Linked DNA regions of Callithrix jacchus. The protein of the gene in region 3 binds, or shares a complex with, the protein of the main gene of each other region. Links are inferred from orthologs where the notes say so. Each region holds a gene or a part of one and is shown on either strand. Other genes may lie near its edges.

Region 1 (9,853 bases), on a different chromosome or scaffold from region 3:
AGGGAAAAATGTCAATAGGGCATTAGAAATATGCAGTGGAAACAGAACATGCTTGCAATAATATTGGAATGTCCAATGTTTCAGGTACTACACTAGCTGTGAGACCAGGATGGATGAGATGGAGTCTTAGTCTGATTTTTCTTTTTCCTTTTTGTTGAGATAGAATCTCACTGTGTCACCCAGGCTGGAATGCAGTGGCAACATCATGGCTCACTGCAGTTTTGATCTCCAGGCTCAGGTGATTGTCCCACGTCAGATTCCCAAGTAGCTGGGAACACAGGCATGCACCACCACATCTGGCTAATTTAAAAAATTAAAAAAAATTTTTTTTTTTGTAAAGACCGGGTCTCACTATGTTACCCAGGCTGGCCTCAAACTCCTGAACTCAAGTCATCCTCCCACCATTGCTCCCAAAGTGCCAGGATTACAGATGTGAGCCACCTCGCCCAGCCCGAAGACTCTGGATGACTAAGAACAAAGTCTCCAGGGGGGTCTGATCATGCCAGGCCCCATCTGCTTCAAAATGAAACCCAAAGCCACTTTCTGCCTCTTTCAGGAAGCACTGCTCTTTGAGTGGGTCATATGAGGGAATCTCCCTTGGAGTACAAAAATTTCATTGATGGGACAGTGTTTGGAAGTGAATTTGTAGAAGAGCTGGTGAAAGGGCAAAGTTATTCTCAGAAGTGAGGCTTCATCCGCTTTGGTCAGTCCATCAGTGAGCCATCAGAGAGACGCTGTTGTCTGACCAAACATGGGAACAGACAGCAGAAACCAAAGGTCTGTCGCTTACAGAAATGGCGTAAAGTTTCCCTAACCTGGCTGTCATCATGCACTGACTTAAATGTGTTAATAAAATGAACACTTCAGGAGCTCAAAAGCAGAAACTCCAGTTTAAGAGGTGATGGGAAGGAAAATTGCTGCCTTTTGGATAGGCCAGGGGAGTATTGATTGACAGCAGAATGTGATGTGGGATTGCGGAAAGGACATTAGCTCTGGAGTGACACGCCTGTTCTCCTCCATCCTTCTGCCACTTGCCAGCTGTGGGCCCTTGAGGGAAGTTCCTTCTCTGAGGTCAAATTCCCCACAAAAGAGGATGTCCATTGAGTGAGAATGAAAGGAAATGTAAGTGGCTGATAGACGAACAGGCTTCAGTCAATGAGCTCTATTATTGATAAAAGAAAATAGATTAAGGGGAAAATTTAACAATGGCAAATCACCAAATTCTACTGTGTATAAAAGAAGCATGTGGTAAGAGGTAATACGTAAAATGTTTATGCAGTCTTATCGGAAACATGATGTTAGAACCCAGGAATCTCCTAAAGCTGTTATTGATGAGAAAATCAATTATAAAAACAGGCACACACCATATATGGTAGGATCACATGTTACTATACATGGAGAGAGATGCACATGAATAATGGCTAATTTTAGGTCACAAAATGTCCAGTGCAGAACAGAGACTTTTCACTTTACTTGCCAGTCTGCTGCCTCTAAACATCTGAAATTGACTCAAACTGACAGGAGCGGTTTGGAATTTGCCTCTGACATGAACCCCTTCCTCTGGGTTTATACAGGTAAATTGGGGTGCCAGCCCTTTCTGGTTCTGTTACTGAAGAAATTGATGGCTGCTTGAGGAAGGCTAAATGGTCAAGTATGTAACAATTGGGTAATTATAAGAACCACCAAAAAATTGGGTAAAGGCTTGAACTTTTACAGGGTTGTATAAACTCTCACCTATAATAATACTTGCAGATTGTTTTCTTCCTTAGGGGAATTTGGCTTTGATAAAGTAGGCTTGAATGACGAAGCAGAAGACACTAAAGGAATATCTAGGAATTTTTCACTTCCCTCTTCCTTAATATTAGCTTTATATCATCCAAATAACAAGTATCCAATTTGTAGTCTATTCAATTAAATAATTACTGAGCCCCTACTGTATACAAGGCACCATTCTGGGTGCTGGGGATGTAACAGCTGATAGAATCATCAGCAGTAGTTTCTCTGGAAAGGACCAGGCAGTAAAAAGTTTTTGCTTTCTGAGCCATAGGGTCTCTGTGTCAGCCAGTCAGCTCTGCTGTGGTCACATAAGAGCAGCCATAGACTGGCAGGGCACGGTAGCTCATGCCTGTAATCCCAGCACTTTGGGAGGCCCCGGTGGGCGGAAGGGATCACCTGACATCAGTAGTTTGAGACCAAACTGGCCAACATGGTGAAACCTCATCTCTACTAAAATTACAAAAATTAACCGGGTGTGGTGTCAGGCACCTGTAATTCCAGCTACTCAGGAGGCTGAGATAGGAGGACAGCTTGAACCCTGGAGGCAGAGGTTGCAGTGGGCAGAGATTGTGCTATTGCACTCCAGCCTGGGTGACAGAGTGAGACTCTGTCTCAAAAAAAAAAGGGGGGGGGGGCGGGGGATAGGGGGCACCTTTCAAACTTTGGATATTTTGTTGATCCAGGTATCAAGCAACTAAAAACTGCAGGAAGAGATGTGAAACCTGTTTTGGTAACAAAAAGTGAAAATCCCCCCACCCCGAACATTGTATATTATGCCTTGAGCTTAAATATATATATTTCCTGGATTGCATAACATACCATGATATACCAATTTCATTTTGAAAAATACATGTGTTTAATATTTTCTGATTACAAAAGTATGCGTTATAAAAAATTTAAGTACAGAATGAATAAGTATAAAATTCTAAAAAGTCTCAGTTCACCATACACAGAGATAATTTATCTGCCTTAAAATTGTGTTCCATCTCTATTTAATTTTTTATGCATACATATTAAAAACACAGCTTCCTTTTGACACAGCTGGGACCATCCTTACATAGTTAATTTTAAAAATCTTGCTTTTTCTACTTAATCATGTTATGATTCTCTCTCTTTGCCCTTACTGTTCAACAATTTTTTTTTCTTGGAAACAGAGTCTTTCTCTATCGCCCAGGCTGGAGTGCAGTGGCGTGATCTCAGCTCACTGCAACCTCCGTCTTCCGGGTTCAAGCAATTCTCCTGCCTCAGTCTCCCAAGTAGCTGGGATTACAGGTGCACACTGCCACGCCCAGCTAATTTTTTGTATTTTAGTAGAGACAGGGTTTCACCATGTTGCCCAAGTCAGTCTCGATCTCCTGAGCTCAGGCAATCCGCCCACCTCAGCCTCCCAAACTGCTAGGATAACAGGTGTGAGCCACTGCACCCGGCTGTTGCTCAACAGTTTTTATGTCCCTGTAAAAGCTTCACGCAGATACACCATAATTCACTGAACCCTTCTTCCACTGACACGCATCAGGCTTTTCTCTGTTTTTCTGCATATACAATGGTATAGCGGCAATTCCTAAACGTTGCAGTTTGTGTGAATCTCTGATAATTTCCTTAGGATACATTTCTAGAAATTAAAATTCTAGGCCCAAGTACAGTTTTAAGGTTTTGCTACCTATTGTCAAACTGCTACGACCCTTCTGGAGAGAAATGTACATTCCCAATAGCAGTGTGTGAGAATGTTTATTTCATGTTAATCCTCTTGCGCTTCATACTGCCATAATATTTGCACATTTCTCATTGTTACACATGGCTTATTTTGCTCTGATTTGTGTACTTTAAAAATATATTACCAGTGAGTCTTTGATGACTGCTTCATGTTTCTTGGAGGTATTTCATTCCTGTGTGTATCTGGAGTTTTCATCTTTTGAAAAAAATGACTCCTAAGAGCCCTGCATATTGTTATATTTTTACTAATGCTTTCTTGCTGGTTTAATTTTGGGTTAAGTTTTTCTGATCCACAACAGCAGAGACATTGTTCTCCCTCCTGCAATTTCACAAGTTAAAAAATCAACTAAAAAAATTCAGGCAGTCCTGGCATGGTGATTCATGCATATAACCCTAGCACTATGGGAGGCCAAGGCGGGTGGATCACAAGGTCAGGAGTTCAAGACCAGCCTGGCCAACACAGTGAAGCCACATCTCGACTGTAAATATGAAAAATAGCTGGGTGTGGTGGCGGGCGCCTGTAATTCCAGCTACTTGGGAGACTGAGGCAGAAGAATCGCTTGAACCCGGGAAGCGGAGGTTGCACTGGGCCAAGATTGTGCCACTGCGCTCCAACCTGGGTGACAGAGCTAGACTGTCTCAAGAAAAAAAAAAAAAAAAATTGAGGGAGAGACAAACACGGCATCTAGAAAAACAGTGATCAACTCTCTATCCCAAAACAGGTGATGGCACCCGGGGAAGCCTCTTCCCACAGTTAAAAGTTCTATCAGGAAGTTGTCCAGAGCCACAAGTTCAGACCTTGCTCTGCGGCCTCTCTGATTGAAATGCAAAGTCTGTTTCCTAATTAACTCAGAACTTTTGTTTGATTTTGATTTTGGCTTTTTAAACACCCCAGGGGAGCACAAGTGAGAAGCTGAAAGTACACAGCAGAGAAGGGTGGGCCCCCTCTCCCAGTGCATTCGAAAAGACGTCGCATCTTCACACACCTTTCTTCCGTGCAGGTCTTCTGGGGTTGGCAACCCTTTGAGTGGGCGCCAAACCTCAGCCTGCATTTATTTTCATTTTCAGACACAGCACTGTTGAGACGAAGGAAAGCTGTCTATCACAGATGTTAAACAATTGGAGGTGTAATGACTCCGCAACTGCAGTTTCCACACTGGGTGTGGTGTGGTGTGTGCACATTTACACAACTTCTTTGGCAACAAAGTCGCTTAGGAGGATGCTCTGATGTGAGCAGATTTTCTGCCGAGACAAAAAAACATAGTTGAGGGTTTTATCTCTCTCCCTTTCACAGTTCTTGTCTACCAGCCCCTGGCAGAAATCACCATTTCTTCGGCGAAGGAATGCTAGTTTCCAAAATCCTTTGGCAGAATCTCCTAGAGAGTTGTTTTTCTGCTTCCTAATTTAGAAAGAAGTCTTCAAAGAAGAAAAATAAAAAAAAACTTGACAAATTAATGTGAGAAGAAACGAACTGTGATATAATTTTGCATTTCTTTCATGAAAAGTTTGAGTTTATCATCTATAACCAATAAAATTGGACAAGATAATCTTGGGGAGAAAAGTAAATGAAAACATGCTGTACCCCATGATCGGACTGTTCTTTATTTTGGGGTCAATAAGTAACGTGATACAAACTCAAGACTTTATTAAAATATCATTTGTAAGTGAAATTAACATATCTCAGTGGTGAAGGAAGACTTTTAATAAAGCAAAATAATGAGTTATGTGAATCAACAGGAAGAGTGAAAAGTACTAAAATGTCACTAAAAGTGACATTTAAATGGTTACATGACTTTAATTATTCTTTGGATAATAAGCAACCTTGTGATGTCTATTCAAGAAAAGCCTGTGCCCACTATGCAATTTGCAGTTGAATAAGAGTTTTGTTCTATGCTTTTGGTAATGTAAAAGAAAAACTGGAAACGGTTTAAAGACCTTGTAACAATCTCCCACCTACCAGAAGAATCTAAAAGGTACGGTGGGAAGCATTAGAAAGAGTGAAAAGAAATATAAAAAAGGCCATACACGCATTGTGTTTATTTGAGAGACAGAGCAAGAGTGAGTGAAGTGTTGGAGAGAGAAGGTGCTGGAAGGCCACCTGATGCCAACCCCTTCCTTATCTGTTCTTGGCCGCCAGGGGTTTCCGGCTGATCTTTTTCGATTTGTCATTATTCTTCTTTGGTGGCTCTGGGTTGGCCTGCATGTGTCTGCCGTAGAGGCTGCAAAGACAGAGACAGGAAACCATCAGATCTATTTTGCCAACACAAGATACGCTTTCATTGGAAGAGCTTTCAGGAATAGAACAATCTCCAGAAATATTCAGTAAGCCAAAGAAAACCAAAAGATCACTTGCGTGTTCTCTGGGTCATATGCTGTGTTGAATATAAAATTCTCTTACACACATACGCCATGCTGTCCAACCATGGACCAGTCTCTTGGGATTTCACACTCACTGGGAGAACCGGTCAGGCCCAGCTCAGCTGTTCTGGACTGAAGTTAAAAAGCTTGTGAGTGTTTAAGTCGACAGTGGTAAAAATTGGGTTGAATGGAAGAGACGGAGTGTCCATTTAGTGAAGAGTGAGCATCAGGCTTGGCGTGAAAGCCCAGGGCTGGGTGATGTGACAGAGAGCAATGGTGTCCAAATCTGCACTGGCTGCTCACCCATGATGGATGGCATGGGGCTGGCTACCACACATCAATGCCACGTTAATAAGTACCGCTGATGAAATGCTGACAAAGTGCCCTGTAATTACGGTGGATGGCATTCACTGCACACTGAAACTGGCTCCATCGCTGAGAGGATTTAACTGAACAGCAGAAGGTAATTAATTGATAATCTATGAGTGATTCTGATTAAACCAAATTAAAAGCCACCCTAAAATAAACACAGCTCAACCTTAGCTCCTTTTATGGATATAACTGTGTCTCCACGAGAGCCTGGCGGGTGTCTCAGGTCCTCTACAGCAAGGACATTACCAGGCTCCACAGCCTGTGGTTGACTTGAACCAAGTGAAGGAGGGCTGGCACAGAGACTGGCATCTCTACCAGGCGGCCCCAGCTCCAACATCCACGCAGGGAATATACATATTTTCTCTGGATGCTGGAATCTTGGGCAGTTTAGTATTTACTGGCATCTGGCGTTTTTTTTTCTGAGCTCGTGTCTCACTCTGTTGCCCAGGCTGGAGTGCAGTGGTGTGATTTTGGCTCACTGCAACGTCCCCTTCCCGGAGTTACTGCACTTAGAGGCGCGTGCCACCATGCCCGGCTAATTTAATATTTTTAGTAGAGACAGGATTTTGCCATGTTGGCCAGGCTGGTTCTGAACTCTTGACCTCCAGTGATCTATCCGCCTTGGCCTCCTAAAATGCTGGGATTACAGGTGTGAGCCACCGTGCCCAGCTGAAATATTTTTCATAGACATGGGGTCTTACTTTGTTGCCCAGGCTGGTCTTAAACTCTTGGCCCCAAGCACTCCTCGTGCCTTGGCCTCCCAAAGTATTGGGATTGCAGGGATGAGCCACCCTGCTGGCCTGCAATAGTGGTATTCTGGATGACATTTGCAGCATGGCTGAGGGGGCAGGGCTGGCTCATGGAACTGCCCAATTCATTTTGTGACCCAGGAAAGCTGGACACTGGTTCTGAGGGCATGCTGTGTTCTAACTTCTCCAGCCTTCCCAGTGTCTTAGTGGTGGTACAAGCAGGTTGCATGACAGTCACTCTCCCACAGTGTAGAATGCAGGGTTCAGAGCTGGCCAGGGACAGACCCACGAGCCAGGGCGGGCACATGCAGTCAGGTGCTGAGCCTGCTTTAGGAAAAGGGGAGCCCGTTCTTTTGCATCAAGAAGGTTCTGTATGTCCTAGACAGAGAACATTAGAGCCTGCAAATTAGCTTTCGACTTCTCTAGAAATTAGTTTAGAGGTCTTTTTGCTGGTGTAAGGGAGACAGCAGCCCTGTTCTGCCCAGCCTGGCTGTGCCCTCTCTGAAGCCACAGGAGAAATATGTCAAGATAATCTGCTCCATAAAAACACATTTTTCAACCTATAGGGGCTCCCCCAGCCTACACTTTTAAATGGGTCAAGTTCCCCTGAAGATGAGGCCATGGGCACCTGGGGGTCCTGGGTCCCAGGTAAGAGACCACTGGTTTAGACACGGAGGAACCTTCAGTGGGCCCAACCTTCCCTCTGTTGCTGCCCCCAATTTCCAAAGATATCTGTGTCTGAGTCCTTGAAACCTGGGAGGATGTTACCGTACATGACAAAAGGGGCTCTGGAAGTTTCGAAGTTAGGATCACCCCGTGCTGGACGGAAAGCTCACCCTGCATTAGCCAGGTAGACCCAACTTGTGTTCCTCCCCCTCAGCATCTCTCTGAGATGCAGCAAATAGAGGAAAGTAGAAGCCTCCATTCTGTTCATCCTGCATGCTCCAAAACATACTTACTGCTCTACTAGCATCTGCCCTTGTCCTGGGATGTTGATGCCCAGGGCCACTGGCAAAATGCTCAGGGGCATAACACTGCGGAGGAGACACCCTGAAGGGCTGAGGTCTCCCAGCTCCTCTCACCTGGCAGGAAGCAAGGGTCTGACTCTGTTCTGTGCCTTCACACCTGTGGCCTCGGCAGCTTCGGCTACACTCACAGCTTCCTTACAGCCTCACAGAGCTTTCCTCTATTTTCTGACCTGTTTTTCCCACAGAGCAAAAACATATATATGCACATTCTTATTCAGACAGTTTCCAACTTTAAGAATTCTTTTCTTTTTTTTCAGATGGAGCCTCACCATGTCACCCAGGTTGGAGTATGGTGGCACTATCTCAGTTCACTGCAGCCTCTGCCTCCCGAATAGCTGAAAGTACAAGTGTGCACCAGCAGGCCTGGCTAATTTTTGTATTTTTGGTTGAGATGGGGTTCCGCCATGTTGGCTAGGCTGGTCTCAAACTCCTGACCTCAAGTAATCTGCCCACCTTGGCCGCCCAACTGTGCTGGGATTCCAGGCATGAGCCACACACCCAGCCTCCAAACTTTAAGGATTGTAAAAGTCAACAGAAAGATGACTCCCCAGTTCATGCACATGGAAACCTAGCAATGCTTGAGTGCAAAGAAAGGGTCTCGGCAATGATACGAGGTCAGCAGAGGGAGAGGAGCAGTCAGAACTGAGAGGAATTGACAAGACGCTGCTTTGTGTCACGTCTTGAATGAGGGAAGGGCCGAGGTGGGGGTTGGGGGTTCCCAGAAGGGGTGGATGTTCACCTGGGCCCTGAGGATGGGAATCCAGGCAAGGGATTTCAGAAGGGGTTGCAAAGGCCGCAGGGCTCTTCTCCTTTTTCAGGGAGAACTGGAATGTTTCTGTCTCTGTCTTTTTATATTCAGATCCCACTGAGTGTGTCAGAACATCCTGGGGCTGCGGAGCAAGTCACTACAAAGGGCCAGGTGGGAGCCAGTGGCCCTGAACTTGCTGTTCAAATCCTGCTTTTGACGTTTATTAGCTGTTGACTCTGGGCAAGTCATCAGCAATGTTCGCCTCCCTCTCCGTGCCTCAGTTTCTTTATCTGTAAGCTAGAGATGGGGTTTGTCTTCCTTGCAGGGTGGTTTGGTAAGCCTGCCAGCAAGGTACCCTACTGGAAGCAGCGAGCGAAGGCTTGTTGAAAAATAGGGCAGACGGGGCGGGGCGGGGGGGGACAGTTTACAGTCTAGAGTGATTAAATCCATATAATTATATGATTACCTTCCTCCTTTAGGGCCGTTTCCCCTGCAAAATAACACGGTATTTTCTATCAACGCTAAATCCCCAAACACCTCTGGAACAAAGGGTTTAATCCTCTTTGAAGAAAGCACCTGAGGCAGAGCTAAATGCGTCGCCCCACTTCCTCGGTGAGTCATCGGCAGGGCTGCGTGACGCTGCTGTCCGCCACAGGATCCTTTAACTCCTCCAGCTGTGTGGGCAGATGAGAGGTGGTGTTTTACTAAGCGGCCATAAGTGGCCATTTTCACGGGGACATGGCTGTGGCAGTGCAGTCACAACAAGATGTAAAGTCTGGTGTTCCATTACTGGCTCTGCCAGTTGATGAGCCACGGGGCTTCAAGTAAGGGTGGTGGACAGAATAATGCCCCGCCCCCCGAAATAGCCACATCCAATGCCCGAAACCTGTGACTGTTAATTTAGATGGCAGAGGGGACTCTGCAGCCGTGACTTAGTTAAGAACCTAGATGATCCCGTGGGCTCAGTGTCATAAGAACGGTTCTTAAAAGAAAGAGGCAGGAGGGGCCAGGTGCAGGGGTACACATCTGTAACCCCAGCACTTCAGGAGGCCAAGGCGGGAGGACTGCTTGAGGCTGGGAGTTCATAACCAGCCTGGGCAACATAGGGA
Region 2 (10,785 bases), on a different chromosome or scaffold from region 3:
CAAAATATAAAACTCTGGGGGATAAAAACTTAAGTGAATGGGTAAATGACAGGAATGACCAGTGCTGCCAGCCTAATTCAGGTGCCTTCAGCAGACAGGTACAATTCAAGATGGTGTTCCTCGAAAGAGCAAGTCTTGACAACAGATTCAGAGAAAGAAAGTTGAAAGCGGCCCTCTGGCAAGCAGACTCTGAAATGGTAGTCTAAGAATCCACACAGAAGGGCCATGTCCAACATAAATGGGATTGAAAACCCAGAAGAAAAAGATCAACAGAGAAAAACAAAAGCCACTTAAGCTACAACTCATAAGAATGGTGTTCTTATGACATCATAAGAAAGACACCATAAGACAAAGAGAAATGGAGGGTTGTGGTCTGAGGATGGTTGTCATAAAGTGCTGAAATGCGACTTCTTGGGAAACAGGAAAATCTCACTTGCAAAGAAAGATCCCTGAACTCCTAAAGAGACAAAATAATGTCACGCAGGTTCCATACAGTCATGGGCTACTAGGCTATTTACAGAACCTGAAAAAGCCATGCAGCCCATAATTAAAAGACTATTTCAAATTTCAAAGACCAATGAAAATTGAGTTGTCAATTTTAATAGGTACCGTTATTTGTGCCGTGCAATGCATTATACATTCTTGATCTCATTGAAACTTCACGACTTCCATGTAGAGAAGGAATTCATATTCTCATTTTATGGATGAAGACGCAGAGGCTTACAGGGGTTAAGGAACTTGTCTTAAGTCATAAAATAAATAAGCGGTTGAATCAGAAGTCAAATTGAAATGTGTCTGATCCTAAAGACCATGATTTTAATCCCTATTCTCTCTTGGACTCTAACACTACTTTTTATTAGGAAAACACAGAAAACAAAGAAGTGATGACTAGTTGAATGCATTCTTTTTTTTTTTTTTTTTTTTGAGATGGAGTTTTGCTCTTGTTACCCAGGCTGGAGTGCAATGGCACGATCTCGGCTCACTGCAACCTCCACCTCCTGGGTTCAGGCGATTCTCCTGCCTCAGCCTCCTGAGTAGCTGGGATTACAGACATGTGCCACCATGCCCAGCTAATTTTTTGTATTTTTAGTAGAGACGGGGTTTCACCATGTTGACCAGGATGGTCTCAATCTCTTGACCTCGTGATCCACCCGCCTTGGCATCCCAAAGTGCTGGGATTACAGGCGTGAGCCATTCTTATGAGACTCATCGTCATTCTATGACATAGGTTTCCTTAGGAGGACATTTTTTACATGACATTATTAACATAATACAATTGATCCCTGAACAACACAGGTTTGAACTGCAAGGGTCCACTTATATGCAAATTTTTTCAATAACTATATGGGAAAATGTTTTTGGAGATTTGTGACAATTAGAAAAACCTTGCAGATGAACCATGTAGCCTAGAAATATAAAAAAAAGTTACTCATGTCATAAATGCATTAAATATACATCGATACTTGTCTACCTTCTCATTTGCTACAATAAAATATAAACAAATCTATTATAAAAAGTTAGAACTTATCAAAATGTGCACAGACACACAAAAACTGTACCTGATGCCATCTGCAGTTGAGAGAAATGTAAACGTAAAGGTGAAGTATTAAATCCTCACTGCACAAAATGAACTGTCGTACATACTGTACTACAGTAATAATTCCACAGCTACCTCCTGTTGCTATTGTGGTGAGCTCAAGTGCTGCAAGTATCTGCTTAAAACACCGTGTGATGCTAATCATCTCGACAGGAACAGTTCATCTCTCCAGTAAATTGTGTATGGCAGTTAAAAGTGATCTCTTGAGGTTCTCGTGTATTTTTCATCATGTTTAGTGCAATACCATAAACCTTGACTAACAGCATGGGACTCTAACGAAGTGCCACTAGAGACGCTAGAAGTACTCCCAAGTATCAGAGAAAGTCATGACATTCTAAGTTGAATTGCTTGATATGTACCATAGATTGAGGTGTGCAGCTGTGGTTACCTGCCATTTCAGACAAATGACGTAAACTTATGGTATCGATAAATATAGCACAGTTCTGCAAATGTATTTTCCCCTATGATTTTCTTAAGAACATTTTCTTTTCTCCAGTTTTCTTTATTGAAAGAATACAGTATATAATACAAAATATGTGTTGACTGACTTATCAGTAGGGTTTCTGGTCAACAGTAGGCTATTAGTAGTTAAGTATGGGGGGAGTTAAAAACTATACACAGATTTTTGACTGTACAGGGGGTCAACATCCATAACCTCCATATAGTTCAAGGGTCAACTATATTCTAACAAGTATTATATCTTTCCATTTGTTGTGTCCTAGAGCGGGGTACAGCAGGTATCAAATGAATGAATGGGAGTCCCTGGGCCCAGGAGAATTCTACATCAAAGCATGGAGATAATTTGTGGACAGACTAATGGCAGTGATCTTGAGGAATGACAAGTTCAAGAACACCAGGGAGAAAGTAAAAGAAGGCAGATTCTACAGAGCATAAAGCTGTGAGCTTATCCAGCATGCAGAGCAAGACCCAGCCTTATTATTACTGAATTGACGGTTAATGGGGCCCTACACCTACCAACCATCACTTCAGCACTGATCATTGCGATCCAGCACATACTCACTAAGGACAGTCATTTCAGAACAACCCACTGCCTTCTTTGACTGGGCTTGCAGAAACACCATGTGCAGCAGCAAGCAGCTGGAGCTGGGTGGTGGCCAGCCCTTCAGAAGAGGCTATGTGTTCTCCCATTCATCTATTTACAGCCCCTGGATTAGCTGACAGACTGAATGACAGAATCAGGACTTTACAGTGAAATATAACAGGGATGAAAATAAGATCTTGCACTTGGTTTCAAAAACCCAACTGAGTAAATCCAAGATAGGGAAGGGTGTAATTTAGGAGCAACAAATATAAAAATGTCTTTGAGTAAGCTGATAGCAAAGCTCAATGAGAGATTACAATGCGACATAGCTGGCAGAATGGCAAAAAGCAATCTTAGCTGCATTAAAAGAACATAGTGTCTGTACTAGAATAAGGGAGGCGACAGTCCTAATCTGGGCTGGCTGATCTGCATTACAACTGTACTACGGTGACTTCTGGAGAGCTCACTTTGAGCGTGTCTGCTAACAGGTTGATCTGCTAGGTATTCTCCATTTACCCTGTCCCTACTGTGACCTGTTCTCTGCACTGCTCTGTGCCCCAAGGAAGCTGCCTCTATATATTGCATTATCCAGATCCCTTGCTCTGATGACTCCCCACTGGGTTCAACACCAGTAGGAGATGCAAGGGCAAGAAGAGAGAGAACATGCAGAATGTGCATTTCTTGTGTCACTCTCTCCTTGCTCCGCCTGCATATTTCTGGCAGTGGCTGCATCCCTCTATGACTACAGTTCCTGTCCAGTAACCCCTCATCCATAGCCCCAGCTTGTAACAGGTTCCATTTTGCTGCCCTTGTCCCTTCAGGCCTTGGAGTGGTAAGTGCTTCTTCCTGTTGCTAGCCCCTAGGGACCTTAGCATCCCTTCTTAGTTCCCTTAACCCTGCCCACAGCTCTGTCAATAGCCCCTTCACTAAATTATTTTCAAAATCTCAACTAAATTGGCCTTTTTCCTGCAGCGACCCTGACTGAAACTAAACAGACAGGATGCAAAGGGCCTTAAAATTATGTCTGTGAGGGATAGAGGATGTTGGACCTGGTGGAGAGGACTCTAGAAAGCAGGATAGCCTACGTCAGCAAGGTATTAATAAAAGTCCACCTTGGACTCATTCTTTGGCTCCACCAACAGCAGTGGGTATGAAGAGATAAATTTTGGGCTAAATATAAAGTAAACCTTTCTACAGAGTAGGTAAAGATGGTTCTCCTGGTAGGTCATGAGCTTCAATATTTCTGAGTTGCCCCATCTTAAACTGGATGAGCCTATGTCAGGAAAGCTGTGAGGAAGAAGTTAGAAATATGATCTAGAAAAGCGTTTTCCAAGCCAGGGTTTCATGATTTGCCACCAACTGTACACTACTCAATGGGTTACCAAAATAACCAAATTGTGGAGAAACTTTCATGTGTTTTGCTACTTCTTGTTTCAATCTAGGGAACAGAAGTCTGGTTCTTCACCAAGTCTGATAATCCTCAACACTGAAGATGCTTTTATACTTTTAGATAATTTACAAACATAACACATTTTACACATCATCACAGCTTTCAAAAGGTTATTTCCAATTCACAGAGTAATCTATTAAAAACATTTTTTAGGGGAGAAGAGAAGTTGATTAACGGTTACAAATATACCATTTGATAGAAAAAATAAGACCTAGTGTTAGACTGGTAAAGTAACTACAGTTTATAATAACCTATCGTATATTTCAAAATATCTAGAATTCCAATGGTCCAGCACAGAGAAAAGACAAATATTTAAAGTGATGGATATCCCAAGTACACTGATTTTGTCAGAGGCATGTGAACCAGAGCAACTCCATCTTGAATGGGGCTAGGTAAAATAAGGCTGAGTGAGACCTACTGGGCTGCATTCCCAAAAGGTTAAGCCATTCTAACTTACAGGATGAGACAGGATGTCAGCACAAGATACAGGCCATAAAGACCTTGCTGATAAAACAGGTTGCAGTAAAGAAGCAGGCTAAAACCCACCAAAACCACAAAGGTGATGAGAGTGACCTCTGGTCCTTCTGACTGCTACACTCCCACCAGCGCCATGACAGTTTACAAATGCCACGGCCACTTCGTTCAGGAGTTACCCTATATGGTCTAAAAAGAGGAGGCATGAACAATCCACCCCTTGTTTAGCTCATCATCAAGAAATAACCATAAAAATGGGCAACCAGGAGCCCTGGGGGCTGCTCCATCTATGGAGTAACCATTCTTTTATTCCTCTACTTTCTTAATAAACTTGCTTTCACTTTACTGTATGGACTCATCCTGAATTCTTTGGTGCGTGAGATCCAAGAACCCTCTCTTGGGGTCTGAATCCGGACCCCTTTCCTGTAACAATTTGATCTTTATAAATTACATTAAATTATCACATGTGCCCCAAAACTATGTACATCATGCATCAATTAAAAAATGTTTAAAATAAAAATTTTTAACTCAGCTTCTATCTACACAGCAATCACCACTGTGCTTGAGAACTGCCACCTGTTTTCAAACCAAAAACCAGGATGCAAAATCTGCTCCTGGGGAAAAAATATTCTACGTGCAAACCACTCTGGGGGAAAAAAACAAAGTATAAGGTCTCCTCAATTAACCCTGGTTGGCGGGGGGAGGGGGGGGTGCTTGCAAAATCCCTGAATACCTGAGTTCACAGCAGGGCCGAGGCCCATGGCTATGTTTGTGTCCCCGGCAAGTTTTCTCCTTGGGTGGGAGTTTACCATGTATTATTACACCGAAGGTACACTAGGTTTGCCAGTTTTCCGCTCATTCATTCAACAAACACTCGAAGTCCACCTACTCCCATTTAACAGAGCCCTTCTCGGCCCTCGGGATGGACAAAAGATCCCAAGAGGCCAACACTGCGACGCCGCTGCCAGAGGACGTCAGCAGGTCCAGGAAACGACCTGATTTTAAGGACCAATGAAGGCAACGAGTGAGAGTGACGGCGCCCAGGAAAGTTGCGGCGGAAACTTGGGAAATGCCAGCCTTCGGGCGCAGAGGGCGGGGCAGGGCCTACAGAACCGCGCCGCCTGAGGGCTGGGGCCCGGCCTGGGCTCGGGTCCCGCCGCCTCCGGCCGCCACGCGGCGCCCGCCCACGGCCCGGCGGGGCCGTCGGCCTGGTCCCCGGCCCAGGAAGCCAGCGCCCGGACGGCCGCGAGCGGGCGGGGCGGCCCCGATAGCCCGCGAGCCCCGGACTCAGTGTGGGGCGCGCGTCGCTCCTGCCCGACGTGCCCAGGAAGCGCGCGCACGCATTGCTGCGCGCCCCACCGCGCCGGGCACCCGCGGCACGCTCCCGCCCGGCCCCGGCGCCCGGGCCCCTCAGCCCCTCCGGCACCACAGGCTTCCACCGCCCACAGCTTCCACCGGCCGGCTCGGCCGCACTCACCCTCCTTGGCTTTCTTCCTCCGGGCCAGGGTCCCTCCGAGTTTACCCAAGAAGGAGTCGTCTTTCTTGCGGGACGGGGGCGACTTGGGAGTCGGGGACTTGGGGACAGAAGGCGACTTCTGTGGGGAGGTGGCCATGGCGCGGCGCAGGCAGCCGCGGGCCGGTCGGGACGCGGAGCTAGCGCTGGGCGGACGCGGCGGGCGGCGGCAGGACTGAGGCTGCGGCTTTCCAAACGGAAGCGGAATTATTCCAAGCATTTGAGGCAGCTCACGCTCGCCTTTCCCTTCCCTCGCTCCCTCCCTCGCTCCCTCCCTCGCGCCGCCCTCTGTCCTGGAAGGAGCTGCGCTCCCGGGACTGCACCCTGCGCCCCTGGCCTGCCCCAAGCAGGGAGGATGCCTCAAAACTGTCCTTCGCAGGACACGAGGCCGTCCCTGTGTGCTCAGTTTAGGAGCGCTCGAAGCGGAAAGCTTCATTTACCCAGGCACCACACAGCCTGGCGCAAAGCAGATCTGAGAACCAACCCAACCCTGTTACTGCCCCAGGGCCTTCCAGCCGGGCTGGCTCTTCCCCAGCCCTGCTGCCTGTGGGATTATTAGATCCACGTCTTGTGCCCACGAGACTGCAGCTCCTGGAAGAAATTACTGGAGTGAACCAAAATGTGTCCAGGCCCCACCAAAGTGGGCACAGCCAGTCACTCTTGAATCTATCCATGACCGTCAACCTCTTCTCCCATCCAAGACTGAGAAACTTGGAGTGCACAAGGGTAGAGCCGAGGCTTCTTATTCTTGTAAGACATCCGTGTTTCTAGCAGCTCAGTGGTTTATACAAAGGAAGATCCCACATGGTGGCAGAAACATGAATGGGAAAGACAAAACCATAAGCTCCTACAGGACCTTTCCCCAAATTTACCCTGCCTAAGTAAAAGCAAGAGACTGACGACCAGACTCATTGAAGATAACAGGGGAGTCACACAAAGCGCAGTGTTGGAAGGACTCATACTGGAAATGATTGAAAAGGCATGTGTTATTTATTGTGCTTGCACACCTCAAGTTCTCACACGGGCTCTTTGTCCGTCTCTCTCTCACACACACAGACTCACAGCGCCTTGGCAACTGTGTTTCCTCCTTGTGGCCCCTTCCCTCTAGGCTACAGCTGATTGAACCTAGGTGAACACCTGAGCCAAAGGGGGCTACTGCTTTACTGGAGAGCAGCCTATCGGCTAGCCCCACTTAAGACTCTGCCCTAAGCTGGAGAGACTGTTGTCAGAAGTTGTCCACATGACTGATGATCATTCGCAGTCAAGACTGGGGTGGCTGTTTCTAGCCACGTGCATGCTAACTAGTAGGGAAACAAAAAAATGGAACTAAGAAGTGTGCTCAAGAAGCCACGTGGTCTGAGTAATGGAAACCATGGGGAGTAGCTGCCTGGACCTTGAATCTTTTCCCAGACCCCACTTGCACTTCCTGTCAGGGCCAGCTGCAATTCCTTCCCAGAAGATCTCAACCTTTTATTAACCCATCTACCTTTCCTTAGACTAAATAAACTGACAAGCAGCAGTTTCTGAGTAGAACTAAAATGTAATAAACAAGATAGTCAATAGGTTCTCAACACTGTATAGGTTCATTTTATCTTTGCTTGAGAGTCATAATTTTACTTTTTTTTTTAATTCTACTTTAGTTGGTGCCTCTTACCTAGAAGCAGAGAAGTCATGATGTCTGTTAGCCTGGGAAGATTACTAGCCAATAAATCTTAAAGGGATGGTGAGAAGCCAAAATAGAACTGTGTTTTGATTACATCATTAATCATTTTTGTTCAGGATATCAGATACAGGACATCTCCAAAAGCATATCTCCAGCCCCGGGAGCTCTTGTCAGGTAATTAAGAGACACACAGCTCAATAGCTGTGTGATCTTGGGAAGGTTTACTTCCCTTTTCTGAGTCCCCATTCCTCATCTACAAAATGAAATGGTTGGTACGGAATGGTGGTTCTCAAACTCGATTGTGCATCACAGTCCCCTAGGAGTTTGTTACATTCACAGGCCCCATCTCCAGAAATCCTGATTCAGTAGATCTCAGGTGAAACCAAGGGATAGGTATGTTTTAAACAGACTACATCAGGTAATTTCAGTGTATTAATAGCTGATTCACACACTGATGTCTTGCCACTTAGGGCTACTTTCAGCTCTAACAGTCTGTGGTTCTCTCTTCTTTCAAAAATTGCTAATATCTGTATGCAAGACTTAGTCCTAAATGTGGCATAATCAAATTACTCTTGGAGATGCCTTCAATTGCCCATGCATGCTTTTGCATATATAATACTCCTCAGGAATTGTTATGTACACTAAACATTGAAAACCACTGAGCAACACTAAACGGAAGAATAGAGTCTTGATTGTTGAATGGTAGCTCCCAGAAAATATCAGCAAAATAAGCTGTGGAAGAAGGCAAAGCTGCATTTTTTGTACCCCATGATAAGGAGAGCCCTGCCTTGCCAGAGTCTTAGTAGCATCTTGGAGTGGGGGAAGGCAAAGGAGGGATATTTATAAGTTTTAGAATCTTGATTAAGACAGGCCTTTCAGCGCAGTGGTGCTTGATTAAGTTTGACTAAGGATCATGATGTAATAGTTTAGGACTGGTAGACTCAAGGCAAAGCCTTCCTAGACTCTTGCAGAGTAAATAGTCTTTTTTATGCTATCTATTCAAAAGTCTAATGAGTTTATGTTCATTGATGAAATTTTGGGGCGAGTTATTGAAAAGAATAAGAAAGTTATTCATAACTTTTATCTTCCTGGGGAAGAAATTTTTGGAAGATAGACAGGGGAACCATCAAGTCCTGTTAATGTATTCAGTAACCTGCGTTGGTGTGAATGGTTTGCAGGGCCTCGATACTATGCCGATATCTTGTTATTCAAGCATTTCTACTTGTGAGATCATTATCACTCTCTCTGAAAAGACCAGTAGGAATGGGTGATGAATCATAAATCAGTGCTGCTCACAGCATACTCTGCAAACCAGTATTGATCTGGATACCGTTATTAGCCAATGATATAAATGTAGAAATTGAGAGCTTTTAGAAACTTTTATAGCAATTTAACAACACTTATGTCTGAGAATCAGAATCTTATATTTCGAATATCTTTTCATTCAATTTTGCTAGTAATTTTTATTTTTATTTTATTTACAAAAATATTGCTCTGCAATGAATCGGTCCTTTAGCACAGATTGCTTGGGAAGCTCTGTTCTACATTGTTCCTGTTTACTTACAGAGTTCATCTACTCGCTTTTGATATGCTTTTAGAATCCTTAAGAATGTGAATTGATCTGGTTTTTGTTTGGAAGATTAAATGAGATACTCTGTGGGAAAGCACCATCTCTGGGTCTGGCACTGATGTCGACTGAATCTAAATCTTACTTAGTCAGAGACACGCTGCATGCTGTTCTTGGATAAGATGAGGAGAAGACCTCGTACCAGCTCCCTCCAATCTAATTGGTATTTACAATTATGTCTCCACTGAACAGCAGCCCTGCTCATGCTTGGTCATGGTTTTCATCTTACACGAGGGATTAGATTGTAAGGACAGATAATCAATTAAATGTGTGTTGTGTGAGACTCTGCTGAATCTCTAGGCAGCCTCTTGAAATTGGGGTCTAGACACACCACACTGGAAGAGAATAAACTCAAGTTCCAATCTTAGCTCAGCAGCCAGGTGATCTTGGATAAATCTCTTCCCTTGCTGCATTTATTTTTCCCATCATGTATAAAATGAAGCCGAGGCAATACCTACTAAAGCCAACCATCATACATACCTTATGATCATCAATTTCAATTATAGGTTAATTTCAATTACAGGTTGGGTGTTTGTTGAAACACCCAACAAAAATGAGTACGTGTTTACACCCAGATACAGGCTCTAGAAAGTTCACAGAAGCACCATTCAAGTGCCTGTTAACAGTTGAATCAATGAATTGTGATAGTCACAGCAATGAGTGAAAAATTTGCAACTACAGGCACAATAGGAATGTATCTCACAATATAATGTTGAGCAAAAGAAACCAGACACAAAAGAGCACATACTGTATAATTCTATTTACGTAAAGTTCACAAACAGGCAGAACTACTCCATAATGTTAGAAGTCAGGATATTGATTAGCCTTGGACGGGGTAGTGACTAGAATGGGGTGGACAGCATGAGGAAGGCCACTGGAATTGGTAATGTTTTGTTTCCTGATCTGCGTACTGGTTACATGGATATATTCACTTTTAAAAACCAATGGAACATACACTTAGTACTTTCAGCACACATTTTCTGTATATATTTTATACTTCAATAAAAATCTACTGCTGGGGGTGGCTCACACCTGTAATCCCAGCACTTTGGGAGGCCAAGGGGGGGTGGATCACTTGAGTTCAGAGTTCAAAGCCAGCCTGGACAACATGCAAAAACCTATCTCTACAAAAATTAGCCAGGTATAGTGGTGTGCACCTGTAATCCCAGCTAATCAGGAGGCTGAGGTGTAAAGATGGCTTGAGCCAAGGAGGCAAAGGCTGCAGGGAGCCGATAGTGGACCACTGCACTCCAGGCTGGGCAACAGAGCCAGACCCTGACTCAAAAACAAATAAAAAAAAAATTACGAACTTATCACAAATATGATTAATTTTTCAAACAAAGCCATGGGACTATAGGTTTCACTTTGTAAAATGAAGCCATGGGAGCGTAGGATTTCTTTTATGTCTAGTCTCCTCCA
Region 3 (10,260 bases):
CATCAGTGAGGTACTTCAGATGCTTCAGGATGCTTAAGCGCTGCTTGCATGGCACATAAGTGACTAACTTGCTTGCATTTTGGCCACTTCACTGGTTGTTAATAGCTCTGCTAGGTTTCCAGAGATAGAAGAAACTGAGTAGAATGTTCTAAAGGTTTAATGAAAGAATAAAGTAAGTGTGGGTTATAAGAAACTGCTATAGTTTTCAGTTGTCTATGCTGACAATGACCAGAAATAACCAAAAGGCATTCAAGAAAGCCCAGTTTGGAAAGGAAAGCTATATTCAGAGAAGACAGAACAGCCCAAAAATGTGGCAACTGAATCAAAAACAAAGACTCAGATGAAATAAAAAATTTTTTTCTAATGTGCTTACTCTGGCACACACATAAATAAAAAGTTCCTCTATGGAGAAAGGTTTAAACCTTTTTTCCCTTCACTGTTTTTCCTTAATTGCCCTCTTAGTAAATAAAGTGCCATGCTTGTTACTTAGGATGTTACTTAGTAACATCCTTTGTTGTGTTGCTTTCCCACAGGTGAATTCATCATTGGCCGAGTTATCAAAGCCATGAATAACAGCTGGCATCCGGAGTGCTTCCGCTGTGACCTCTGCCAGGAGGTTCTGGCAGATATTGGGTTTGTCAAGAATGCTGGGAGGTAGGTGGATTTTCATCCTTGTCAGATGTCAGTGGATAATGTGACTGTGACAAGATCATGTGTATTCTCCATGTGGGATGTAAGGCAGTTCTGTAGGACACCGAATTGAGGGCATGGGAACTTGACAGTGCAGTGTGTTGACTGAATGTTGCTGCTGGGAGTGGACCCTTGTGTTGCTGTGCACAGGGCATAACGGCTCCACGCATGGCTCAACTACCAGCGGGGGATGTACATAGGTGGAGTTTCTTAAAGATCAGTCAGATATTGGGGTTGGAACACATTTTCCATGTAGCTTGATTCTGCTCTGTTAAAAGCAGAGGAGTGATTTTTTTTTTAAAGAAATTGTTTAATTTCTTTTCAGAGATAAGGGAAGCATGTTTCTTTCTAACTATTAGAAAGAACCTAAAATTTTAAATTTAAGTTTTGGCTCCGTTTAGACACCTGTGTCGCCCCTGTCATAATCGTGAGAAAGCCAGAGGCCTTGGGAAATACATCTGCCAGAAATGCCATGCCATCATCGACGAGCAGCCTCTGATATTCAAGAATGACCCCTACCATCCAGATCATTTCAACTGTGCCAACTGCGGGTATTGGGATTGTTTCTTTTTTATTACACAGGCAGTGGGAAGGAAAGATTCCGTTTATCTATATTTCTGTTACTCTAGCAAACCAAATTGTTTTTCTCCAATTTTTAGTCTAGAAAATATTAAAACTATAGAAGGGTCAAGAGAATGATATAATGAAATCTGTGTACCCTTAATTTTATTTCACCATTTAACATGTTATCATGCTTATGTGTGTACAATACACGTTCTCGTTTCACCCTCCCATGTATGTGTGTACGTGTGCATGTATACACATGCCTCTAAAATTTCTCATGACTCAGTATACATCTCCTGAGAATAAGGGCATTTTCCTATGGAACCACGATGCTTTAAAAAAAAATTTTTTTTTTTTAATTTTTTGTTGAGACAGGATCTCACTGTATCGCCCAAGCTATAGTGCAGTGGGCGATCATCACTTGCTGCAACTTCAGCCTCCTGGGCTCAAGCAATCCTTCCACCTCAGCCTCCAGAGTAGCTAGGCAACAGGTACATGCCACCCTTCTCGACTAATTTTTTAAAATTTTTTGTAGAGATGGAGCCTTGCTATGTTGCCCAGGCTGGTCTCAAACTCCTGAGCTCAAGCAGTTCACCCATCTCAGCCTCCCTAAGTGCTGGGATTACAGGCATGAGCCACTGCACCTGGCCAGAACCACAGTACTCTTACCATATAAATTAGCAAAAATTTTATAATATCAACTAGCAGTCCATATTAAAATACCCCCAATATCCCCAGAACTATTTGTTATCACTGTTTTTCCAATAGAAGATCCAAAAATAACCTCAAAAAAAGGTCTTATCTCTGTACATGCATTACTTTTACAGTTGTAATAATTAGGTATTATCTTAAAATACAGTGTTATATTTACTTTGGCTTGGTTTACATCTAAAAGAAATTATTTAATTTTTTGTCTTCAAAAAGTTATGATAAATTGTTGGGCTATGAATTTTCTAAATTCATAGTAAAAATTTAGTGGATAAAGATTCTTTACTGTAGTTAATGTGAACTTACATGCTAAATTATATTAGGGATAGAGAAGAAACAGTAGGCTAAATATTAAGAAAACTGTTTGGTGGTATAAGTTCAGCCATTTCATCTTTTGTGATTGAATTATCAGTTTGTGCTGTATCTTGTTTTCTTGCCTATCCTTCCTCTTGGGAGATTCTCCTCTGTCCACTTTTCCTATAGAATTACTTCAAAGGGGTGAAATTCAAACAAGTCCATTTGACTAATTGGAACCATCTCTGACCAAATGTTTATTGATGCAGGAGAGTGAAAATAATATTTAATTTGAGTATTTGGAGAAGGAAAATTATGGGCATGTGTTTATGAAAATAAACCTAAACCGATTAACCTATAGCTCTTTTCAACAGCTTGTGACAATTTAAATAATTGTTAGTAAATGGAACTAGTCTATCAACTTCTCAGTTTGCTTGGAAAGGTAGTGTCTTAGTCTCTTTTACGTGCCTATGACAGAATACCACAAACTGGGCAATTTGTAACAAACGGAAATTTATTTGGCTCATGGTTCTGGAGGCTAGGAAGTCCGAGATTAAGGGGCTGGCATCTAGTGAGGACCTTCTTGCTGCATCATAACATGGCAGAGGGCATCACACAGTGGGTGGGAGGAGAGGGAAAGGGAGGAAGAGAAGGGAGAAAGCTGAAGTTGTCCTTTTATAAGGAACCCACCCCCTCAGTAACAGCATTAATCCATCCATGAGGGTAGAGTCTTCATGATCTAATCACCCCTTAGAGTCCCTACCTCCTGACACCTGCATTGGGGATCATGCACTTTGGGGGATGCATTCACACTACAGCAGGTAGTATTACTGAATCTACCCTCAGCACTGTGATTATTCCCCATAGCTTTTAAAGGAAGACAAATGGACATAAATGTAATGTGATTATATAAGAAAGAAATGATGAATATGACTGGTGTGGTGGTATATATCTAACCTAGTATTGCATCTTATCCTTTTAAGATACAGATGTTTTGGTAAGAATCTGAAACCTATTCGGACCTATTAATTCAGGTTACTCTGATCACCTCTAAAGGGAGAAAAAGAAATTTGCAGGGATTGTCATAGTAATCTCTTTAAAAACCTTTTAAAAGTTGTCCTGGCCCTATCGGTTGGCTATTTTTCTCTCTTGGTATTAAGCTGGGTGTCTTTCTCACGAATAGGAAGGAGCTGACTGCTGATGCACGGGAACTCAAAGGGGAGCTGTACTGCCTGCCATGCCATGATAAAATGGGGGTCCCCATCTGCGGTGCTTGCCGACGGCCCATTGAAGGGCGCGTAGTGAACGCCATGGGCAAGCAGTGGCATGTGGAGGTAAGTTGAGAGTAACCAATCGTTTCAAACTTCTGTGATTCAGCAGTAATCAATCCTTTCAAATCTCTATGATTTAGGGGTAACCAGTACTTTCAAATCTCCATGATTCAGGTGTCCTGGCAAGATTTAGGAGATTCTAAAGGTTAAACATGGACATTTTAAAGACAACTGACTTGCTGACTGTTCAGAATATAGAATATATACTGCTTTTGTGAATTTCTCAGTAATGATACAGGATGTAGACTTTTGCACCTAAAGCCTTCCTGAAGCAGGAAGTGCCATGGTCTGTATCCAGCAGCAGCTCCTCCTTTATAGGTGCTACTGGGGTACTCATCTATTTGCTCTTTTTGGGCTATTGTAATAGGCTATGTCTTAAAGTAACCTGTCAAAGATAGACACGTGAATTAAAACTGCAAAAGTATTATATTAGGGAGCTACCTATGGCCAAATCAAATGACTATCTCAAACGTTCGTTCATCTTCTCTGAAGATAGGTTAACTTTGTGGTTTATTTTATTAGATATAAAATATGGCAAATCAAAAATGACCTATAGCAATTTTTTTTCAGCATTTTGTTTGTGCCAAGTGTGAGAAACCGTTCCTTGGACATCGCCATTATGAGAGGAAAGGCCTGGCATATTGTGAAACCCACTATAACCAGGTATTGACCTTAGTCACTGGATGCTAGATAGACTTTATGAACTTTGCTTATCAGTAGTTTAGCTACAAGGAAATCTCTTGGAAGATATACATTGTTCAGGAGAGATGTTTTTAACTATTTAGGAAATAATTTCAGACTCAGAAGCTAACTATAAAATAAAAAATAAAAAGAATACCTGTATGCTTTTCATTCAAGTCCACTGTTTACTTTATCATTTTCTATGCTCAGTCTTGCTGTGTAAAACACCTACTTACATAAATATTATACACAAATATGATGGCTGTTTCTAAAGCATTTGCCAATAAATTCATCATACTCCTTTACCCCTAAATACTTCAATATGTATTTCCCAAGAATATGAGACTCTCTAACATAATTGTAGTTATCAGTATTGATATCATACTTTAACCCATTTATTCTAGTTTTGTCACTTGAGTCAATAATGTCCTCACAGCAATTTTTTCTACTCCTAGAAAAAACAGTCTAGGGTTGTGATGTTTTTTTAGCCTTCTTAAATCTGGAACATTTCCAGAGCCTTTTTAAGTTTTTGATGGTATTGACATTTTGGAAGGATGCAGAGGGCCCCTACCCCCTTTTAATAGACTACTTTCCACTTGGGTTCTCTGTGCTTTCCACTGCTGCTTCTCTGTGGTTAGATGAGGTTATACACAGCAGGTTGCAGCCTCACACAGTAGCAGTGCATTCTCTCAGAGCCTTGTCCCTGGAGCCCTTCATAATCACCTCTCTTGCGCTGGTGATCTCCCAGGCACAGTGCTAGCTGATAATATCACTATGAATTACAATTTCCTTCACTCCTTTGTAAGAAGGAAGCAATCTGTGGGCCATCATTTTATGACCATGGAAATGTCTTGTTTCTCATCAACCCACCACACCTTTATGATTCTTGCTTCTGCACCAGCTGCAAATGACAGTTCTCTAGCCCCACACTCTCCACCCATAGTCTGGTCCTCAGCGCTCTGCCTGAGCAAGAACCTACCTCCTCTGCCATCTATAAGTTTATTCATTTATCTGTTTCCTATCCATATATACTCACAGATTTCTATATTTCACATTACTTATTTGGGTGCTCAAATTGTCTTCTGGAAAGATTTTTTTTTAATTGATGAAAGTGAATTGTTTTCACTGTAAAAAGTAAAAATTTGTCAAAGAACTTTTACTAATTTTCTCCAGTAGTGATAAATTCTTGATTTAGATAACCAGCTATTTGTTTTTAAATGTTCCGTATTGTAAAACTTAATTCTAACACATCTTGAACCACCTTTTTTTTATTTTCAGCTATTTGGTGATGTTTGCTTTCACTGCAATCGTGTTATAGAAGGTGATGGTAAGTATCTGTGTGAGTTTTAGATTGGTACCACTTTGACACAGAAACACTTGGGCCATGTGGAAATTCAGGTTGGTGATTGCTGTTGTTTGGAATGTGATCGTTATCAGTTGCTTTTTCTCTTTCTTTGGTGTATTTCCCAAGTAATCTGTAGCAGTAAGATGATAATATCAAAGAGTTGGATTTGTTACTCATTTATGATACTACTTTCAGCCACTGCCACAGTGTTGTATGCCAGCAATCATGGGAACTGTCCCTAGTGGACCATAGACCTGTTTCTGTCCAGTTCCAGGAAGCTCCATAACAACATTTATTAGGAACAGTTTAATCTGCTATGTAGTTAGGAAGAGGCACTTTAACTTGCACATGCTAAAACCTGGCAGTTATCAGCAAGCACATCTAGGACTTACTACCCCTTGTACTGTGGTAATTAGGTTGGACTGATTGACTGGAACAGAAAGGAAGCAGCTGTGTTTGCTAACAGTTGCTAACACAATTCTGCCAGAGACTTCCTGGCAAAGTTTTGAACAATCCTGTTTTCAGCATGATTCATGGCTCCCTGCAGACATCACCTAATTCAGGAAATACTTTTGAAACACTGTTCATGTGCAGTTTGTGAAAAGATTAGTCCAGGAAAACAATCTTCAGTGCCATTGAAAATAAAACTTACCTCCCTCCTCTGTGAAACAGACACCAGGTAAAAGGAGCTACAAGGCAAACTTTCTTGTTATCATCAGCTCTGGAAAAAAGACTCCTACAGACAAATACGTTAATGCCTGGATTTTTCAAAATTATTTACCTAGTTCATATTTCCTTGTTGGGCCAACAGCAGTAGGTACAGAAACACCAAGCTCACCTAACCAATATCATGCATGGACAGTCACCACATGTGCCTGGGCCAAGGGGGCATGGTTGCTGGTGTAAGATATGGCACACATCATTTACACCTTCATAGGATACTTAAGAACAGGGAAAGATTAATGTCAGCCCTCCATATCCAAGGGCTGGATCCAAACATTTGGTGATACAACCAACTATGGATCAAAAATATTTAGAGAAAAATAACAGTATAAAAATAGTACAGTATAATGACTATATATCATTTGCATTGTACTAGGCATTATAATCTAGAAATGATCTAAAGTATGTGAGACAGTGTACATAGATTATGTGCATTTTATATCAGGGACTTGAGCATCTGAGATTTTGGTATCTGCACAGCATCCTAGAAACAGTATCCTGCACATACTGAGGAACAACTGTACACATAAAGGTTGAGGGCCAGGTATGGTGGCTTACGTCGGTAATCCCAGCACTTTGGGAGGCCAAGGCCGGAAAATTGCTTGAGACCAGGAGTTCAAGACCACCCTAGGCAACATAGACTTCCATCTCTACAAAATAAAAATAAAAAATTAGCCAGACATGGTGGCACACACCTGTGGTCCCAGCTGCACAGGAGAATGAGGTGAGAAGATTGCTTAAACCCAGGAGTTCTAACTGTGATCACATCACTGCAATACAGCCTGAACAACAGAGCAAGACCCTGTCTCAAAAACAAAGAAAAAAAAAAGAACCTCTCAAGAAAGAGGTTCTTGGCTGGGCATGGTGGTTCATACCTGTAATCTCAGTATTTTGTGATACTGAAGCAGGCAGATTGCTTGAGCCCAGGAGTTCAACACCGGCCTGGAAAACATGGCAAAACCCTGTCTCTACAAAAAATAAAAAACTAGCCAGGTGTAGGCTGGGCACAGTGGTTCATGCCTATAATCCCCGCACTTTGGGAGGCTGATGCAGGTGGATCATGAGGTCAAGAGATCGAGACTATCCTGACCAACATGGTGAAATCCCATCTCTACTAAAAATACTAAAATTAGCTGGGCATGGTGGTGCATGCCTGTAATCCCAGCTACTCAGGAGGCTAAGGCAGGAAAATTGCTTTATCCCAGAGGGCAGAGGTTGCAGTGAGCCAAGATCATGCTACTGCACTCCAGCCTGGCGACAGAGTGAGACTCCATCTCAAAGAAAAAAAAAATTAACCAGGTGTGGTGGTATGCACCTGTAGTTCTAGCTACTCAGGAGGCTGAGATGGGAGGATCACTTGAGCCCAGGAGGTTGGGTCTACAGTGAGCCAAGATTGCACCACCACACTTCAGCCTGGGCAACAGATCAAGACCCTGTCTCATTAAAAAAAAAAAAAAAGGGTCTCCCCGAGGTGCCACAGACACAGTCATTGCAGTCATAGTTCTGTTTTAGAGTTGAAATTCTAAGCTGCCCTGCTCCCCATACTGATGTATTTCCATGTGACCAGATCTCTTTCCTCTTTGTCTAGTGGTCTCTGCTCTTAATAAGGCCTGGTGCGTGAACTGCTTTGCCTGTTCTACCTGCAACACTAAATTAACACTCAAGTAAGTCTATGGTTTTGTCCAATGTGAATCCTAAGACTGAAAACTTTGGGGTGACACTTAAAAAAATCCTAGAAAAAGAGAATTATTTGATTTCTTATTTCCTCTTTCTGTTCACGCCTTCTGAAAGTAAAGGGTCTTCCTTTAATTTTTCCCTGTTCTTTCTTCTATTCCTTCTTTGTCCTGCTTAAAGGGATAAATTTGTTGAAATTGACCTAAAGCCAGTCTGCAAACACTGTTATGAGAAAATGCCAGAAGAATTTAAGAGGCGACTTGCCAAACGCGAGAGAGAAGCAAAGGATAAGGACAAGCAGAAAAAGAAAAAGCCAGTCTGTTTGTAAACTTTTCTATCCCTCTGTCATCATTTTCACTACTTTCTCCTTTGGTTAGTCCTTTGGAATATGTTTTTGTTCTGTTTCTGCCTTTTGCTTTCTTCCTCCCCCCTACCCCCACAACTTTTGGGCATGTATTTGTAGTCATCAGAGATTGAAATACAAGCATTTGTCCTCTTTAGAGTTGGTCCTTTTGCATAATTACTAAAATTACAAATATTAAATGAATATGCTCCATACTTAATACAGGTTTGTGGTCATATATTTCACTTACTCTGTAGACTCACTCACCTCATTTTTTAAACACCATGTTATACATTTCTATTTTGTTCATGGATTTAAAGGGAAGAATTCTAATCTCTTAATAGACCCTGGAAAAAGTTTTCAAGGATTTTTGTCTAATAACTGTAGCTTTTAAAATCCTGGTTTTTTTGTTTCTTTGCCAAAATCATTTAATTGTTAAATTATAAGTGTTGTTTTATATTTTTTAAAATATGATATTTTTTAAAACTTATGTTCTAAGTTATGTTTTATATTATTTCAGCATAGCCAAGCACAGTGGCTCATGCCTATAGTCCCAGCACTTTGGGAGGCTAGGGTGGAAAGATTGCTTGAGCCCAAGATTCTGAGACCAGCCTGGACAACATGGCCAAACCCCATCTGACAAAAAAAAAAAAAAAAATCAACTTGGCGTGGTGGCCCATACCTGTAGTCCCAGCTACTCAGGAGGCTGAGGTTGCAGTGAACTATGACTATACCACTGTACTCCAGCTTGGGCAACAGAGTGAGACTCTGTCTCAAAGAAAAAAAAATCTTTCAGCATATTTCACATCTAGGCAAAGTCCATCTGATTTACATAAGACATCTTCTTCTGTGATGTTTATGTATGCATTCATACAATGCTCATATGCTATTGTTTATGAATTCATTTCCTCAATGTCTTCAAAGTCTCTTTTATTCCTGATTTTTATGGGAAGTATTTCAATCCTTGACGTTCTCTTAAATTACTAGCATGATTTTTCCATTTTTCCCTCATAGTTACCATTGTGTTTAGAGCTCTAAAAATATTTTGTTTCAGTTTACATGTTTCCTTCTATAAAGAGGAATTAAAATGTAAATATAAGATTAAAACAATGAGCCGGGCATGGTGGCTCACGCTTGTAATCCCAGCACTTTCAGAGGCCGAGGCAGCAGATCACTTAAGGTCAGGAGTTCAAGACCATCCTGGACAACATGGTGAAACCCCGTCTCTACTAAAAATACAAAAAAATTAGCCAGGGATAGTAACTGGTTTCTATAATCTCAGCTATTCATGAGGCTGAGGCAGGAGAATCACTTGAACCTGGGAGGTGGAAGTTGCAGTGAGCCGAGATATTGCCACTGCAATCCACTCTGGGCAACAGAGTGAAACTCCATCTCAAAAAAAAAAAAAAAAAAAAAAAGATTTAAATAGTAGAAAGCTTACTAAGTTAGTCTCTCCAGAAACAAGAATAATTTTTTTCTTTTATCAAAAAAAAAAAATGGCACTTTTAATAGCTTTTGCTCTAAGAAGACCTTGGGAGAAAAACTGTAAAATAATTGCCAGTGTAGTGTTTTAAAATACAAGATTTTTCATTTTAAATATGTATTTAGGAATTACCTTTGTTATTAACATTGTCCTTTAAAATGATCTTGAAGCAAAGTCTAGCTTAGTGTCATGTTTAAATGTAGTAAAAATATCAGCATATTTTATCATTTTTCTTATAGATGACAGTATACCACTAGATTTATTTCATAAATGCTACCTGAATATAATTTCACAGATACAACAAGTTATCAAGTTGTATATTTACTCAGTTCAAAATTAAACACTGTGGATTTCAACAGTAATAAGCTCCTATAGCTGCCTGTTGGAAATGCATTACAGATGGTCAGGAGGCTTGTCTGAAAAG

Evidence for each region.
Region 1: the proteins of LIMS1 (region 3) and RSU1 are in contact, whole or in part, in a crystal structure (PDB 7LT9), measured with the Homo sapiens proteins. The link is inferred for Callithrix jacchus from reciprocal best matches to the Homo sapiens genes LIMS1 and RSU1. Residues at the interface, in NP_001180417.1 of Homo sapiens: Cys252, Phe253, His254, Cys255, Asn256, Leu267, Asn268, Lys269, Ser279, Thr280, Cys281, Asn282, Thr283, Glu293, Phe294, Asp295, Met296, Lys297, Cys303, Lys306, Phe307, Pro308, Glu310, Leu311, Arg314, Leu315, Lys317, Leu318, Ala319; in NP_036557.1 of Homo sapiens: Asp21, Ser23, Asp24, Gln44, Val46, Ser48, His49, Val67, Asn69, Phe71, Asn72, His90, Asn92, Met95, Glu112, Asp115, Thr117, Tyr118, Arg137, Ala138, Tyr140, Ser142, Asp143, Ile161, Ser163, Arg165, Asp166, Glu184, His186, Gln188.
Region 2: LIMS1 (region 3) and PARVA share a complex: the UniProt entries of both Homo sapiens proteins name them as parts of the heterotrimeric IPP (ILK-PINCH-PARVIN) complex. The link is inferred for Callithrix jacchus from reciprocal best matches to the Homo sapiens genes LIMS1 and PARVA.

The regions. Positions count from the first base shown.
Region 1 is NC_133508.1:17,408,775-17,418,627, forward strand, and holds the end of RSU1 (ras suppressor protein 1), read right to left. Parts: intron 9,357-9,853; exon of another isoform or gene 9,224-9,356; intron 8,916-9,223; exon of another isoform or gene 8,254-8,915; intron 6,311-8,253; exon of another isoform or gene 5,709-6,310; coding exon 5,606-5,708; 3' UTR 5,069-5,605; downstream 1-5,068. UniProt on the Homo sapiens protein: Potentially plays a role in the Ras signal transduction pathway. Capable of suppressing v-Ras transformation in vitro.
Region 2 is NC_133511.1:78,268,195-78,278,979, reverse strand, and holds the start of PARVA (alpha-parvin), read right to left. Parts: upstream 6,270-10,785; 5' UTR 6,177-6,269; coding exon 6,041-6,176; intron 1-6,040. UniProt on the Homo sapiens protein: Plays a role in sarcomere organization and in smooth muscle cell contraction. Required for normal development of the embryonic cardiovascular system, and for normal septation of the heart outflow tract.
Region 3 is NC_133515.1:20,414,483-20,424,742, reverse strand, and holds part of LIMS1 (LIM and senescent cell antigen-like-containing domain protein 1), read left to right. Parts: intron 1-533; coding exon 534-654; intron 655-1,091; coding exon 1,092-1,241; intron 1,242-3,439; coding exon 3,440-3,590; intron 3,591-4,157; coding exon 4,158-4,250; intron 4,251-5,546; coding exon 5,547-5,595; intron 5,596-7,924; coding exon 7,925-8,000; intron 8,001-8,190; coding exon 8,191-8,338; 3' UTR 8,339-8,382; intron 8,383-10,260. UniProt on the Homo sapiens protein: Within the IPP (ILK-PINCH-PARVIN) complex, binds to F-actin, promoting F-actin bundling, a process required to generate force for actin cytoskeleton reorganization and subsequent dynamic cell adhesion events such as cell spreading and migration.